2 linked regions of the Drosophila melanogaster genome follow. The gene in region 1 interacts genetically with each later gene. Each region holds a gene or a part of one and is shown on either strand. Other genes may lie near its edges.

Region 1 (7,654 bases):
CTGCACACAAAGCATAAATAGTTTCAAGATCAAACGGGCAAGAGACCACTGACCACCCACCTGATCCACACACTCCCTTAAGGGTTTTTGTGGTGACAGCCTCGGCAGATGCCTTCACCTCCCCCGCAGTCACAGTGCAAACAGCTTTCTGCACTTCGCTGGGCAGTTTTGGAGCAGCTTCTGTATCCAAGGGATTCCCGGTGACGTTGAACAGTCCACTGCCCGATTCCTCCTCCGTCGCCATCGCCGTGGAGCAGAGAACAAGACACAGCATCCACGTAGCTGTCATCATATCCATCCACCAAGAATCCTCTTCTGTTGAAACACCCAAACACAACTGTCGACGAATCTTGGGAAATTGGCAATTTGGGGAGCACCACCTTGAGCCACTCGTTCACGTGGATTTATTGGTCGGCGTGTCTTTTGACTTCTGGTGCGTGGAACTACTTTTAGAATGGGACCCTCCCACCAAACTCTAAAAATAGTGTACACTTTTGATGGCTTCTCTAGTACGAACTATGAATGAATGAAACACATTCGCACGATGTTTGTGTTCCTCTTGAAATACCTTCATACATACATATTTATTCGCTGCGTTTCAGAGGAAATGTACATATTTTTCAATTTCTTAGAGTTTTGGCAAGCTTGCGCTTTTCGAATTTTGAAAATACAAAATTGCACTTCCCCTAAATCAAATGCTTTCGTAATAGAATTGCTGAAAATGATTAATTATGCATTCTTAAATATAATTTTAAAAAATTGTTTGAATGCCTATATAAAAGTAATTTGTTTAGTTAAAACCACATTTTAAATATTTGTGTTTATATTATAGCAAGAATTCTACGCATAGCCAGTATCTAAGTTGGTAGTATCCTTCCAAGATGTCATCCCATTGAGAAGAAGGACAACCGGAAGGCCATTTCGACTATGTTCTGGGGAACATCGGACCGGTGACACACGTACACTTCCTTGGCTGGCGACTGAAAGAGACGACCAACCACCACGAAGCGACTGCTCGTCGAGGATTGGGATTGCCCGTCCGACTTGGGTTGCGTGCTGACCTCCAGGATCATGCCGTGCTCCTTGACCAGCGACACTGTGTGGCTACTGTGCCCGTTCGAGTTCGTCTGTGCTCTCGAGGATTCCGATAGATGCCTGCGATAGTGCTTGGATTTCTGCAGCACGGCGTGGATTATGTGACACGCCTGACGAATCTCGGAGAGGTAGTTGGAGTTCTCGGAGCTGTCGGTAAATGGCGCAAACAAGGACCCATTGGCTATGTCAATGTAGACGTAGTGCAGAACGGAATTCTTCCAGCCAGCGGATATCTTGACCGGCACCACGTTGTTGATCTCCTTCCACATGGACTCTGTCATTTGGCTCTGACTGTGGCTCTCGGCCCCGAGATTCAGTCCATAGTGAAGTGGATGCTGTACGGCGAAGTTCTCCCAGTCGGAACCGCTGTCTGAGTCCTCGGCAGTACCATGGATGGGGGTCAATCGCCTGCGACAGGACTCGTCCTCACTGGGAGTCAGACTATGTATGGAAGACCCACCCAGGGACGAGCACAGTTGGGCTTCCTCCTCCACCGAAGGACTCAGCACGGTTAGCTTCTGCTTGAGGAAGGACTCCAGTCGGTTGTTCGGCTCCTTCTCCTGATCTCTACTCTCGCTGGCAGTGGCGTCCAGCACCTCGGGTCTCTTATTGGAAACGGACCAGAACATGGCCAGGGATTCAATGCCGCACTGTACTAGGTGGTCCAGCGTCTCTTGAATCTCCTCGATGTAAAAGAGCGATGGACCCACCACCGCATCCGGCGCCATGTCTGGAGCATCGAAGATCTTCAAGATCACGGCCAGACTCAAGTGGTTCTTGGTGCAGATGGTAAGGAAATATCGCCCTGTGGCACTGGGCAACACTATCTCCTCCCACACGTACATCTCGCGAACTTTGATTCCCGGAGCAGCTCCGAGCAACTCGAAGATTCCGCGGCAGCGCAGGAATCCTTCTACACTCACCCTCACTTCCGGTGGCAGCAGGCTGGCCACCAGGAAGCCATCGTAGTACAGCGCACTGCCGTAGATGAAGAACTCGCGATGGGTGGTGAGTGGCTCGTCGTTCCAGTTGCGATAGTCCATGGCCTCCATTTCACTCAGAGCATCAAAGATGCGCAGCTGCGCTTCCTTTGGCAGTGGCAGGCTGCGGGATTGGCCCAGGAGCTCCTCGAAACGAATATGACCATGGCATCTGGCTACGAGCCGGGTTCTCTGGATTTCGCAAAAGTGTCGAAGGAACAGCTTCAGTCTCGAACTATTCCCCGGCTCTCTCTCCTGATTAAAGCTCTCCAGGACCAAGCCCGGCAGAGAGAAGCGTATGTATCCGATTAGCTCATCCGATCGCAGGCTGCACTCCGCCGCACAGCAGAGTCCTCCGGCGTAGGCGAAGAGGACTAGGAACCCATTCAGTTGGCGGTAGTTGACGTGGTATTGCACCTGATCCACCAGCAGCCTTGAACTCAGCGGCTGGGTGTGCAGTTCACTGAGTACGGCGTGCAGGGTGAGGAAACTCCCACGGGCCTTGAATAGGAAGTTGTCGGGGATTTCCGGAAAGTAGTAGAGGGAATCCTGTTGCTGTTCATGCTGATAGCACTCCGGTGGGAGTAGCAGCATAGCAAAGGGCATTCTTATGTCCACGGAACTACCGGGAATACCGAAGTTCCCCTCCGTTATCAACATCTGCTCAAACTTCTCCGTGAACATGGGAAAGTTCTCCACCTTGCACACCTGCTCCTCGCGGACATTTCGATTATACCCCGGATCGGTGGGCGAAACTGCACTGGCCGCACCGCACGACTGGAAGCCTAGGCACACCTGAGTGGGCTCCACGAACTGCTTGAGCAACTCATCCACATTGCTGGCGTACACCTCTATGCCATTCAGGGATCTAAACCAATCTCCCCGCTTGATGCCGTGCTGCAGCGCACTCACATCGTGAACGAACCCATCGACCATCAGGCATTCTGGTTGGTCCGGAAAGGGCAGGACCCGGAAGCCCAGTATGGACTCCACCGCCGTGGATCGTCGTCCGAAACGGAAGCGATCAGCGGCTGTGATCACCAGATCCAGTTTCTTGGGATCGGGGGCAGCCGTCTTGAACTGTGAGAAGCGGAACTCTTGCGGCTCCGTCTGGCTATCCAACCTGCTCGGGCCGTGGGACTGGTTTTGGTTCTGACTCTGATTCTGATTATTGCTGTGCGGCTGGCGACGCGACGACTTCTTTCCCAGGCGCAGCGATCGACGCATGAACTCCACCCGCCGCTCTGCCGAGACGCCAGTCTTCTCACATCGCACATACTCCATGTAGAAGAGACTGCCGTCTGTGGACACGTACTCCTCCCAGTTGGCCAGGTCGCTGCCATCGCTGTACGAGTTGCTCAGCGAGGAGTTCGAACTGGAGAAGGCCTCCGACGGCAGGCTGGCCGGCGATTTGCGCATAGTTTACCGGGGATAGTTAACTGGGCGGATAGTTATTAGTGGCCTACTATTCCAGGTACACACTCAACTATCTGCCGCCGGTTGATACCGCCTCAGCTCAGCTCTGAATGTCGACTGAAAGCCGAGATCCGATCTCAGCACTCAAAACCAGTTTCTAATTGAGCTCTGGCTCCGACCAGCTCAATACCACTCCACTCAAATTCCAGCGGGAAACGATCCACTCCCTTTGTGATCTGGTTCTCTTTCAAGCTGGGGAAACTCAAAACCCACCGTGGGTTAAGACAAGTATAGTTACCATAATACAATAACCAATTTCTTTTCTTTTTATAAGTGTTCGCATTTAACGATTGGACTGCTAACCAGTTGATTTCAGCGTGATATTAAGTTATAAATAATAATCATGGAAAATCCTTATAAAAATAGAGCTCCGTCTGCGATATGCTGACTCTGCACAAAGTCGCATTGAAGATTTGGTGGAACTTAAAGCAAAATTGGTGTGCTATCATAAGGATTGTGTTAATCAGCGGAAGATTAGTAAAATGTTGCTTCCTCAATGGGTATCCGATGATCATTTGTCATAGGAGACTACCGCTGAAGTCCTATCTCCCAATAAATTATTTTACGGCCAATAAACTGTGTATGCATGATATGAAGGGAATTGATATAATTAATTGGGCATTTGTGGACCCGGGTGTTTTAGTGGCCACCTTTTCGTATCGCCGATGGTCTGATAATCTAAGATTTTCCAAGTGATTTTTTTCATATCGGTCTCCGGACTGGACGCCGTAAATCAAAACTTTTCTATCTGCAAACAATCGAGTAGTATAGAAAATTGTGTCTCACTGAACTCACTATGTGCTGGCCAAAAGCGAGCCGTGGCTATATCGGTTGATCCGGAGCACCGATCCCATTGAAGTACGGGCCTAATAGCCGTACTCCGACGTCCAGATAATTATCCGATAAGGAACATGGCGTGGGCGTGAAGCGGGACGCCCAGTGCCACCGAAAAAGCGATACGCTGATAGTCCCGGGCCATTCAAGGGAAGATATTGCCAAAATTGATAAGCCGTATCATGGCAGAATTAGCCGCACATGTGTACCGCAGCTACCTATTATTTCTGCTGACCATCGGAGCAAGCTGAGTCCTCCAGCCAGTCCATTGCGCGAATCCAAGGCGTGTGCTTCGCCCAGCCGCAAATAAAGTGATTTGCGGGAAATGTCGGCCGCGGTTAACTATCACAAAATGTGGCTTAGATTTCGGAATACCCAGTGAAACTGAATGAGTGGCTAAAAATTGTATAGAACGCGATTATCTGTGTGATTGTGAAATCAAACAGCTGTCAAATCTTATTTATAATCCCCCATTACAAGCACTATAGGTGCGCAATTCAGTGAATATGTGTCCAAAATATATATGGGATGTGATCGTATTAGTATGCCTGTTCCTTGGAAACGTAAGGGAAGCATACACCGAGTTTTCGATCCAGGATGGCTTGATAATAGAACCAGATTCAGCCACAACATCCAGCGAAGAGGCCGAAGAGGTCAGCAAGGAGAGAACGGACCTCAAATCCCTCATGTTGAAGTACGAATCGGATGATGGGAACAGTTGTCTGCTGGATCTGATCAAGGACGAGGTGATATGGTGGCAGTTTCCCAACGGAACCCTCAGGGACAGCACAAAGAAATACGGTAAACCTATCCAATAAAGTCCAATAAAAATCCCTGCCCAAGTCTCAGTTTGATTGGGCATTGTTAACAGCTCTCGAAACTATATACATATACTTTCACGCTTCCGGCAACGCGGATCGACTGCTTATAGAAGGTCTTTGATGTTAGCCTAATCCCACCAGAATCGGTAACATTATTATGGAACCCCTTATCAGTGAAAGCTCTGCATTACTACACCCAGAGAAATTTAAAAAAATACCGATATCGGTTGTGTTCAGCGTACTCAGTGGCATCAATCATGCTCATTAGAAGAAACCTTCTTGATTTCGAGACGAAAACGATCTCAATGTTGATATTTTTTGGCGGAAGCAGTATCGGGTTTAAAATTGTGGAAGAGAGAGAGAGAGAGAGAGAGGCAAATGAGACCAGTCATTTGCAATCTGAGAACGGTTCGATCTCGATATGAGCATGATTTGATCCTTGCTAGATTTTAAGATCAAAAATCTCATATCAAGATCGTTGAGAACAGTCTTTTCTCTGAGTGTAGTAGCTTGGGCTGGATTTGGCAAAGCCACTCGCAACTATATGGATCTTAGCGATAATAAATTGTATCTCTTCGAATGTTTACACCCGGCACTTTTTGAACTTAGCCTTTATCCCCATAGTATCCGATACTGTCACTTTTGAATATGGTAGATTCACTTATAATTTATAGGTTCTGATCGTACCTTTAATTACTTATTTAAAGCGCACAAATTGTATTTGGATCTATCCCACGGTAATCTTAAGGACGACTCTGACCTATTCCGAGAAGCGAAACTTTCGAGGAAGGTTACCATTTGGAGGACAGAAGTCTTCTCGGCCGCATTCAATACGTTGACTGCAGCTCCGTTCAGGACGCTCTACTCCATGAGGGAATCCTTGAAGCTTTTATCGCTGCGAGGAAATAACTTTGCTGAACTGATTCCAGATGCTGAAGGTAAGCTTGGCCGGGTTAGATCATTGACCATTTAGTCAGTTGTGGGAACCGGAAACGCAATGGCACACGTATTCTGATGTCCAGTTACCATTCGCCGTTTCAGACTTTGCTCGATTTGTAAACGAGTCCCGCTTGGAGGCTAGTAACTCGGTACCACACCATTGTGAACTACTACTTTTACACAATACCACCGATCTGTATGATCGGGAATGCTATCTATACTTTAACAACAACACAAACATGGGACAATCAATCACAACCGGTAGAAACTATACGAACTTTATTAAGGTCTTAAAAGATCGGTTCGATCAGCACGGAAGTTCATGTAAGATCTCAACGCAAACACAATTACACAGCAAAGACGTTTTCCTAAAAGTCCTCATGCCACATTTAATCACAACTTGATATCCGTCATTTCCATATTCCTGGTTTCATATCTGTTAAAAGGTTCTAACTATGTAACTTAAGGAGGAAGGGTTTAATTTTTAAATATCATGCCATAAATACTTCTAACACGTGAATTCCTTATCTGTTTCCCAGCCCAATCTATAGCCTGGGCCACTTTTCCAAAGATGCCCCGACTTGTGGAGCTGGACATCAGCAACTGCAGCATCGAGTACGTGAGCAAGGAGGCGTTCCGGAATGTCAGCAATCTGCGGAGGCTCTTCATGTCGGACAACAAGATCATGACGATAAGCCACGACACTTTCTACTACGTCCAGGGAGTGCAGTATCTCGACCTGTCCTTCACTAACTTCCTGACCTATAGCTACCAACTGCAGTTGCCCACTCTGGAAATGGCCTTAAGCCTGATATACGGCCTGAAGATCCAGCAGAACGTGTTCAAATATCTGCCGGAACTGATTTACCTGGACCTCTCCCACTCGAAAATGACCAGGAATAGTGCGGTGGCTTTTGCCCATCTGGGGGATAAGCTGAAGTTCCTCAGTCTGTGCTACACTGCCATTCCCATGGTGAGCAGTACCATCTTCAAGAATACGGTTCTGGAGGGCCTCGACTTGTCCGGAAACCCCTACCTATCCTACAACATCATCGACGACGCCTTCGATGGCATCGCTAACACTCTGAAGTATTTGTACTTCGAGCGATCGAATATTAAGGATTTAGAGTGGTCCAAGTCGTTGAAGAACCTTCAGGTGTTGGGCCTCGCGGGTAACAACATCAACGCTCTCACTCCCGCCATGTTTCAGTCTCTGGAGTCCCTGGAGATCCTCGACTTGAGCTCGAACCATGTGGGCAATTGGTACCGCAGTGCCTTCCACAACAACTCCGCCCTAAGGGTTTTGAACCTGAGAAGCAACACCATCAACATGCTGTCCAACGAGATGTTGAAGGACTTTGAGCGATTGGATTACCTTAGTCTCGGGGACAACGACTTTATTTGCGACTGCCATTTGAGAGCGGTGGTGGAGGTGGCGGCCGCCAATAATAAAGATGCAGACTGCTCCTATAGACTGCTGAACTATAGTCAGAATGCCGTAGGTGAGGA
Region 2 (9,934 bases), 6.9 Mb from region 1:
TGCCGACGGCTTGGCCACTCAAAATGGACAGGAGTACTTCGTTTTGCCGCTGGAGACGAAAATGAAGCTGTCCGAGGTGGTCCGCCGCCTGGATGATCCCACTGGTGCTGTCCACTACATACAAAAGCAGAACTCTAACCTCAGTGTGGACCTACCGGAACTGGCTGCTGATCTGCGGGTCAGTGATCTCGACTTTGCGCAGCAGTCCTTTAACAAACCGCCTGATGCTGTTAACTTTTGGCTGGGCGACGAGCGCGCCGTTACCTCCATGCACAAGGATCCATACGAGAACGTGTACTGCGTGATATCCGGTCACAAGGACTTCGTTCTCATCCCGCCGCACCAGCTTAGCTGCGTACCGCGAGGAATTTACCCTACAGGCGTTTACAAGACCTCAGATAGTGGTCAGTTCTACATTGAACCGTTGAGGGATGAGGAAGGCAGCGATCAGTTCACAGAATGGGTCAGCGTTGATCCCTTGTCACCCGACCTGGCCAAATATCCGGAGTACGCCCGGGCCAAGCCTCTGAAAGTACGTGTTCACGCGGGAGACATCCTATACCTGCCCAACTACTGGTTCCACCATGTGTCCCAAAGCCACAAGTGCATCGCCGTGAACTTCTGGTACGATCTGGACTACGATAGCCGGTACTGCTACTACCGCATGCTGGAGCAGATGACGTCCGCAAGGAGTGGCTAATAGAATCCGGAGAAGTATTTATTCTCAGGGATTGTTAGGTGAATTCAAAACCCTTCTTGTTTTCAGTGTATTTATATATATTATTGTTACATAATTTAGTGTTAAATAAAAAACTGATACCCAAAATGAGTTGCGAACTACGACTAAGGACACGACCATAAAAGATTTATCTTTTCCGAAATTCGTAAATGAAATATGAAATATCCGTACAGATGATGACTTCTTAAATAAGGAATGTTTGCTTTGTTGGGTTATTCTCTAGTCTATTCGAGACTGACGTCCTGTTTTTCTGCGCCGGAAGGCTCCGCTGCAGCCTGTCCATCTGCCTCCTCGTCGGGATTTTCGTTGTTCTCGCACTCCAGTTCGCCATTTCCCGCGGAGGAGACGTTCTTTTGGTCCGCCTCGGCCAAGTCTGCATCGTTATTCGAGTCCTGCGACTGGGATTGGGACTGTTTGCGCACACGCTGGTTCTTCAGCTTGGCCGGACTGGCTCCAGAAGGTGTCACCTTCGACTTGGTCTTGCAGCTATCCTGCGGCTGTTCCACCACAAACAGCTGCTCCAAATAAGAACGGTACCAAAGCAGGAACTCGTCCCGCTGTCGTGGTATGTCCATCTTCTTGATCTTGGCATATATGCGTTTGGGCGAAATTAGTGGCGAGCTGGCGGTCGAATTCTGGGCAGCAGTGGCCGTCAGCTTTGATACCTCTGCCAGTAGGGAGTCATTGATGACGGTGTTGTTGTGCGTCTGATTGCGAATGCGTTTGATAATGTACTCGATTAGTTCGTGATCCGGTGCCAGTTCTATGCTGGTCCCTGGTCCTGATCCCGAGCCAGAGGCTTGTTCTAGTTTTCCCTCGAGGATTTGCTGGTAAGGAAGACGCAATTATGAGTTAATCGATCCAGTTTACGAAAGCCTTTCTTACCTCTTCGTTCTCGGTCCTAAGAGAAGAGATAACAGCAGAAGCACTGTCCTCCATTTCATCCAGGTGCTGCCCGTTCTGTGGATTGGACAAACTTAGCTGCTTCACTGGCGTTCCTTTTTCGTCCTCGGGCCGATCGTTGTCTAGCTGCAGACGCATTACCTCTAGCGGGGTTTCACTGCGACTCTCGGTGGCCTCGGCGTCGCCAGTAGGTTCGTTCTCCTCCTGGTTAAGAGCCTTTCGCAAGCCGTGTGGTTCATGTGAGTGCTGCAGCTGCTGATTTTGTTGCTGTTGTTGTTGCTGCTGCTGCTGCTGCTGCTCGAAGAGTGTCTCCAGCCGGCGGTAGACATCCTCCTTGATTGATTCATAAAACTTTGTGGTGAACTTGTCGTTCTTCAGAGCGTTAACCAGCAGATTTCGATTCAGTTCCTCGGAGGCCGTTTCCTCGGTTTGCTCCATGGCATTTGATTCGTCCGCGGGCGATGCTTCTTGTCCGAGCGTAGGAGTAGTGTCCACTGGAGTAATCTGGGGTAGCTCGATGTAGTCCATGTAGTGAGCTGGAAGTTCGAAGTCGAAACGAAGATGTCGCTGCTGCAGAGGAGTAAGCGACACAGTCGAAGTGGTGGGCTTTGCTGGTACCTTGTTCCGCTGATACAGCGGACTGTTGCCATAGTTTACGTTCATGTTGAGATTGGAGGAGCTAGCCTGCTCGGACTCATCATCCCGCAGCGTGGAAAGCTGAGGACGGCGACGATTGCGACGTCGACCCGAGCCGAATATGACGTTATCATGGTTCTCCTCCACCTCGTCCACATCCTCATCGTCGTGGTCGCGAATGTGGCCTGCATCATCGCGCCAGTCCCTTTTTCTGCCCGAACTGCCGCTGTTGTTGAGATTATTGCTGCCATTGGAGCTGCTGCCATGCAAAGCGGTTAGTGGCGCCTCGAAAAAGTGACGACGCTGCTGCTGGTGGGTCAAACCACCACGCGTAGTAGGCGGAAGCAACTGGGGCGGCTGAAAGTAGCTGGGACGTGCCCGTTGTCGCCGATACTGCTGGAGGTCCACGTTCAGCTCCTCGTTGCTTTTATTTGATAAGAGATTTTGGCGCGAATGGCTGGAAGAGCGTACAGATATTAATGGGTTAATGCAAGCGGGTAGCAAAGAATCATGCAGTTGATAAACTAGCTAAATCTAGTGAGCGTTACTAAGTTAAGTTTTTCTATTCCATATATCCTTTTTAAATTGAATACACATCTTTTATAAATTAGCTTTGTTTACTGCCGAATAGGCACTTGCAAAACTTGGTCAGTACTTGGAGTTAGTCTTGGTTAGTCACTTTCAACTCTGTTAATGGGACACTTATCTGCAACGCGTGGTCGCACTTACCGGTGCACAGAATTGAAAATTAACTCTTCACAATAGTTTTATTTAATTTTTATTGCTTTTGACCCTTTTCCATCAAACAACCATTAATAAATCCAACACCAAAGTTATAAAGCATTACCTGCGGAAGTTGTCCCAGTAGTTGTTGGCTCTGTTTCCGGGTGGTACTTGATTGTTCAATGTAATACCGCCACCAGGTGCTCCTCCACCAGCTGCTCCCTCGGGCAGCGAGTGCAGATTGTTGGCATGCTGGTTCTGGGTTCGCAGATTCGAGTTGTTCTGATGTATCGTGTTGTTATGGTGGTTCATGAAGATGGGACCTGGACTTGAGCGGTAAGTAGGCGGCGACAGGGGTGTCTCGTTGTTGAAGTGCGTCGGCGGTGGCGGGGGAGCAGCATTGTTAAGGAACGGCTGCGCCTGATGCTGCTGCTGTTGATGATGATGCGATTCTGCCCCGCTACGATGACAGCTGCGCTGATAGTTACTAAAGGCGCTCTGGTGGGCACCAAAGTTAAATAGCTGCTCAGATTGAGCTCGACTGCTGCCCAGGCACAGATTGTTGGGCATCTGACCCATTCCAGGGCCCACCGGAGGCGGTACTGATTCCGAGCGCAAGCCGAAGCTGTGATCCTGGCATGCTACAACATTAAATCGATCCTGGAGCTGTGAAAAAACACTTGAATTAGTCTTTGATTAGGCTCTCTAATCTCATGGATTGTCTTACCGCATGTAGCTGGTGGTTGAGGTTGTCGATTTCGCGCTGTTGATGCCACAGTGCCTGGTTGCACTGGCACACAGAGTTGATAAGCATTTGCTGCGTCTGCATGAACTGCTGCAGCAGAACTGCGTCGGTAGAGGCATTCGATCCGGATCCATTTGAGGAGCCCCCTTGTTGGGCGGCTGGCAGCTTTTTAAACTCTGTGCCGGCACTGGAGCTCGGCTGACCGTAGACGGGCTGCTGTCCATGCCACGAACTTCCAGAGTTGTGTGATGCTGCTAGCGGATGCATAAAAATAAGCGTAAAACGAGGAAACTAATACATGAATTCAAGTTGGTAAAGTAAAGTTGGTAAATTTCCGCCTTTGTTGGTGGAATTAAAAACGTACCCCACATTCCAGGCACTGGTTGCATGGGGGGCGGCATGTACTGCGATCTATTGCTGCTGGATGGTATGCTGTCATTACCCAGGGATAGCGTATCAAGTGTCACATTCAGGTCATCTTCGTTTAGCGTCGACGGAGGAGCAGGCGGCGGTGGTGGTGGTGCCTGCTGTGGGGGAACGTTAGGTTGCTGACCTCGTCGTTGCTCCACCACTGTGTTGGCGGATGGAGCCCTCTTTAGGGTCGCTGAGGAAGCGGTACGTACGTTGGCGAAGTACTTATCGCTGTCAGTGTCGTCGTTTGCCTCGTCATCCGCCTCCGATGTGGTGTTGTTACTGGCTACGTAACGCTGCTCCAGTTCCCGCTGCTTCTGCTCGTATTCCGTTCGCAGGCGCTCGCACTGCGAGCGCAGTTCATCGCGCAGTTGTTCCTTGGTGGGCGTAGCCTGAAGAGAATTATCCACTTCGGATGGATCCTCTTCCTCGGTCATCCGCTGTCTCATGGGGGTGGGTGTTGGGGTAAGACTGCTTCTTTTAAGTGCATCATCGCCCATTTGAACAGCGGCGGCCGCCTGTTGTTTGCGTCGCTCAATCTCTGCCTTCAGGGCTAGGATACGGTCACGCTCCTTTTGCAAGCTTGCTGCTTCCGCTCTCAGTTCGCTCGTAACATCGTTCAGAGCGAATACGCGCTGGGCAATCTCGGCCGGCAATTCGCGCTCCACGCTAGTTCTTTCCTCACTACGCCGCTCTAAGGTGGAGCCCATGCTGGGAGTACTTTCTTCAATCTGGCTAACAGTGTACAGCATTCCCTTTAGTCTCGCCATCTGAGCCTTGAGTGCTTCTATATCTGCCGTCTTCTGGTTGATCATTGCCTGTGCGTGAAGTGCCCGTTGAGCAGCGTTGGCCGCCTCCTGGCGTATGATGGGTACGTTTCTCTGATACTCCACAGGAACAACACGCTCCTTGGGAGCCGCTGGGGCAGCCTCCTCTGGCTTGGGAGGAGGCGTGGGAGTCTCCTCTTTCTCTTTGATGACTCTAGCAGTCTCCCTGGCCGCACGGTTGATGCTGTTTAGTTCGTCCACCAGATTGCGCATATCCTCACGTTGGGTGCGCAGTGATTCCAGTTTCTCCTGCAGGGCTTCCTGCTCGGCCAGGATCTCGGGCCCATCATCGCCAAGCACCGTGCTCAGTTCGTTCTGGTTGTGTATAAAGGCGGTGAGATTCTTCATGCGCCCCACCAGCGACGCCATGTCGTCCTGTACCTGCTGCACGGACTCGTATTTGGGGGCCTCTCCCCCATTGACATTGTGGGGTAAGCTATCGGCTTGCTGGCGCAGCCGCTCCATCTCGTTAAGGTGAGTCTTGGCCAAATTTTGGATTTGTAACAGCTTCGCCTGTTCGTCGTGCAGGTGCTGCATGTTCCTATTGGAGGCTTCCAAGCGCTGCTGCAACTCATCGAAGCTGGGCGTGGTATCGGGCGTGGGCGTTTCCAAGACGCTGTGTAGGGACTGAATGGATTGGGCGCGGTTGTCGCTCATCTGAAAGGTACAAATGGTTTGAGTACTAGAAGGCAGACTTTTGGTTTTATTAACCAACTAACCTCGCTTAATGCAACATCCTCCAAGCTGGTCGAATTGACTACGCCTTCACCCTGATCCGAATTTGGGTTGATTTCGTGCACCATGTTGTTCGTCTGGGGCAAGAATTAAAGGATTTAGTTTCATTTATTATTACGATATAAAAAATGTTATTATCAATCTTATAAATGTTATAAATGTACGGCTCACTTGAAGTTCCTGACACAAGCTTTCAAACTCACCTCTACAACTTTCCTACTCGGTTGATATCTGCTATTCAGGTTCTCGTCTAATCCTAGCAGGGCGCGTAACACGTCAACCTGCGAGCGAAAACCTTCGGTTCTGGGAGCAAAATGGTGTACACCAAGAAGTCGGTGAACGAGTTGTTGCAGTCCAGCGGGGGTCAGTGGCGGTGCCTGCTCCTCGTTGCCACTCAAATTGCCGTTTCCGTTGCTGGTAGTTGCGTTCGGTATGACCACACCTACTGTGGCATTCGGAGGCGTCGATTGACGCAAACGCAGCAAAGCCGTCGAAGATGAGGGGGCGCCTGTGCTATTAGCTGACGAGGATGGCTGGTGCTGAACCCTCTGGACAGGACGGACGGGGAATCGATAGCGCTGCTGCTGTTCCTGCAGTTGCTCTGTAATGGAAAATAGCCAAAGATCAGTATGGATGTTTAGGTCCATTGCTAAATACTGCGCTGCGAACTACATCATCTCAGTGGGCGTTTATTTTCGTGCGCATCTTATTTATAGAACATGAACTGGCGCACCGATCTCTGTGTGGGCCAGGCCGATCACTTTGCCAGGTGCGGATATTGGAAATTGCTCAATTAAATGTGTATATTCCTCAACGGTTTCAGGACCCATTACCTGCTGTATCGTAGTTGCCGTGTTCGGCGGCCAACTGACGCAGTGCCTCGCGCTGCTGTTGCTGTTGTGCAGGCGACCTGTGATCCTTGCTAGACAGATGCTGCTCCGCCGGCGATCGATTCTTGGCGTTGGTGATGCGTGCTCGCTGGAGGAGATCCTTTAAGCAACAGTAAATGAAGATTAGCAGGAAAACCAGCACGAGGATTGCGGTAATTTTGCTGATTTTAGGTCTATATATATATATCTATTTCAGATATATATATATATATGTATAAGGGCGCTGCTCTGGCCGATCGAAATTCGTTGTCCGCAGTGGTTGAGTTCGCATTCGCTACTGAGCCAGCGGCTAACGAATTTCCGCAGGTCGCGATGAGTGTAAAGTGTATTTATAAAACCAAGAAGAGAAAGGTCTTGGTGTCTTCTCTTCGAGAAGATTTGCCATGGCAACCAGACGTCCGTCTAACTTACATTCAGAGTTTTCAGCGTCTCCCGCTGCAGCGTCTCTGGCTCGACAAGTTCCATGTCCGGTTCGCCCAGGTGCTCCTGCTGCCGGCGAGAGCGGGCCGACCGGCTGGATGTCACAGATGCACTCGACCCGGACGTGGGTGCTCCGTTTACAGGCGTTTGTTGTTTAGGCACCGCACCGGTTGCCCCGCCCACCGAGTTGTTGTTGCTGCTGCCATTGCTGCGGGCGCTGGCGTTGGCTTGGTCCACAACTACCTTGGGCGGCGGCGCCATTAGAAAATATATATATATATATTTGCGTACAAAAAACGACGCTACAAAATTGAAAAAACTCCTCTTTTTTGTACTCCCACTTTGTTTTTTTGCTTTGCGCACTCTGACAGCTGTTCCCAACCAGGGCTGGAAGCTAGTTAACAAGCCTACCAAGTTATGGTCACACTGGCAGCGGACGTTTTTTGAAATCGAATGTTTTCTAAAATTCAAAAATAAATATTATTTTTAGTTTAAAATAAAATGTATATCTGTAAAAAGTATTTTAAATGCTTTTGGTGTAGATAAACTAACGTTACTTGGTAATTTGATATCTTTTAAGGATAATTATTTATTTGGAGATTACTTTATAATATGTTCCTTGGATAATAAACATTATATGACTAGAGCCATTTTCCCTTTCAAGTTTGGACGTGCCTACTTTCCCTGCTTGCGCTGGATGATGTCCTCCTTGAGCGCACGAATCCGATCCCTCTCCGCCCGGAGTCCCACCGCTTGACCGCGTAGATCACTGGTGAAGTCCGTGAACATGTTAAGCATGGAATTCAGGAGCTCGGCGTTATCGGGAGCACTCGACGAGGTCGATGGATTCTCTTCTTGGGCACTCTCTACGGCCTCGCTGGCCACTCGGACTTCTGACGAGGTGGTCTGCCTGCTGGTCTGAACGGAGGTGGAGCTCTGGACCTGTACCGTTTGCCTGGAGGACATGTGCTCCTCGATCATCTTGGTGGTGTCCACCATGTTCTGCACGCGCTTAAACTGCGCCTTCAGGTTGGCGATCTCGTTTAGCTTCTCCTGCAGATAACTGGCCTGCTCCTCTTTGTCCTCCCCGCCCTCTTCCTCACCAGATGGTGCCTCTTCCCGGTTTGTGAACTCTCCAGAAGCACTGGCGGATGAAGCAACTGTTACTGTCTCCGATGAGGATTCAACGTGGGACTGAACCTCCTCCTCCTCGGTGGACTGCCGCACTTGTCGGCGCTGGGCATTCAGAAGGGTCAGCTCAGCGGCTCGTAAGCGCAGTGTCTCCATCTCCTCAAGCAACTGGCGGTGCTCCTCCTGCATCTCTTGCAGCTGTCTGTTGGAAGCAGCTAGGCGCTTAAAAAATACAAATAATTAGTTTTGAAAGCTTCAATAATGAAAAAATTGGTTTAAAAACATCATAGTTCAAAGACTACATTAGGGCATCAAAAGAAAAATGATTTTGTATATTATTATTAAAAAACTCTATTTTTTAGCTCACTGGTATAGAAAAAGCTTCGTACTTAAATTTCATTTCAACTGAAACATCTAGAGACTGTAGGCTTATTGGTGTGACTCATTCATTTTGTTGTCTAAAAAGAATGTGTCACGGTATTTATTTAACTTTACTGACTGTGTTTTCTTATTGTTTTAAAACACTTAAATACTAAGAGTTTTGCAATTTCCCGAAGACTCCAGCTTACCTCGCTCAAGGCGGCATTGTCCCCATTTTGAGGCCTATTCAGTTCGTTGACCATTTTCTGGGTTCCTGAGGAGAAGAGGGAATACTTGGTGTTATGTATATCGTGCACGTTGATTATTTTCTCAATACAAACAAAGGCCCATCGCAAGGCACTGTCTATAAATAAATGGCTCTTTGTTAAATTATTTTTCAGTTAGAATAGTGTCAGTCATCTTGGCATTTTTGAAGACAAAACTAACAAGTGCACTTATGAAAATGTACACCACAATACACCACATATATTATACTTGAAAATGCTACCTTTTAATCGTATATTCGAATCCTCCGAGCGATGAGCTGTGCGCACAAAGAGATGCCCAAATTTCAACTGAAACGATGTGCCGAAAACGAAAATATTTTGAATCGTTTTCGTGTTCGTGTAGAGTTTTTAGAAACAGCCGACAAGCTTTTCCACATTAATATGAAAGTCTACAAAGGAAACTTTTTTTATGTTTAGAAAAGGAAGGTAACAATTAAATTGAAAACATGCTTAAAACATTTTTTCGTTGTAATTGTAACAGAAGCATTTTCAAAAAAAAATTTAAATTAATTCATAAAAATATAGTTATAAATATAAACCCCTGTGTTAAAGTAAATGTACATCAATTGCATGATGATTTAGGTGAACCTGCTGTGAATATGGTGATCCAAATTTAGACTTCCAAGAGTCATCGCCTTTCCCACCAATTCATTTGCCAGTTGTTTGCAATGTTTACATCGATATAGTGATAAGATAATCTGAGGCTTGAACCTTATAAAGGTACATTTTCACAAGGGAAGAGATTCAGTTGAATAAAAATCTGACAATGAGTGGAGGTGTGCGGTTCAGAAGTTGGAATACAAAACTATTATAATTTTTCTGTTTTGCAGAAGTAATATGGTACTTTATCTGCATATTTTGCGGTGTTTTTGGAGCAAGACCCAAAGACTTGGACGTTTCTGGAACAACAGATAGCACCCTAGAAACGGATTCAACTACTTCCGGTCTGGAATATGGTCTAATTACGGGCAACTTGAGTATCTGCGGAAATGTGGCAGATAATGTGTTTCTACCATTTGTGGGGGACTGTAATAGGTACTACCTTTGTCGCTGTGAGTTTGGAGCTTAAGATCTTTATATTTTGGAATCTTTATCATAATATGTTTATTTATAATATTTAGCTGGAC

What was found.
Region 2: of in (region 1) and cmb, changing one enhances a phenotype caused by changing the other (phenotypic enhancement), as found in Drosophila melanogaster (one study listed by BioGRID).

The regions. Positions count from the first base shown.
Region 1 is NT_037436.4:20,363,156-20,370,809, reverse strand, and holds in (inturned), read right to left. Parts: upstream 3,613-7,654; 5' UTR 3,495-3,612; coding exon 885-3,494; 3' UTR 551-884; downstream 1-550. Other genes in the region: CG13247 (uncharacterized protein), read right to left, coding at 61-298; Toll-9, read left to right, coding at 4,892-5,186, 5,914-6,144, 6,248-6,469, 6,685-7,654. UniProt on the Drosophila melanogaster protein: Plays a role in the definition of cell polarity via the planar cell polarity (PCP) cascade. Acts downstream of fuz and accumulates asymmetrically in wing cells to regulate planar polarity in the wing. Probably acts by regulating ciliogenesis.
Region 2 is NT_037436.4:13,440,075-13,450,008, reverse strand, and holds cmb (combover), read right to left. Parts: upstream 7,416-9,934; 5' UTR 7,291-7,415; coding exon 7,021-7,290; intron 6,891-7,020; exon of another isoform or gene 6,710-6,890; coding exon 6,553-6,709; intron 6,321-6,552; coding exon 5,923-6,320; intron 5,797-5,922; coding exon 5,704-5,796; intron 5,642-5,703; coding exon 4,111-5,641; intron 4,001-4,110; coding exon of another isoform or gene 3,998-4,000; coding exon 3,729-3,997; intron 3,668-3,728; coding exon 3,126-3,667; coding exon of another isoform or gene 3,122-3,125; exon of another isoform or gene 3,048-3,121; intron 2,736-3,047; coding exon 1,625-2,735; intron 1,567-1,624; coding exon 964-1,566; 3' UTR 764-963; downstream 1-763. Other genes in the region: JMJD7 (jumonji domain containing 7), read left to right, coding at 1-700; CG14109 (uncharacterized protein), read right to left, coding at 7,705-8,382, 8,730-8,783; CG10140 (uncharacterized protein), read left to right, coding at 9,574-9,583, 9,638-9,859, 9,929-9,934.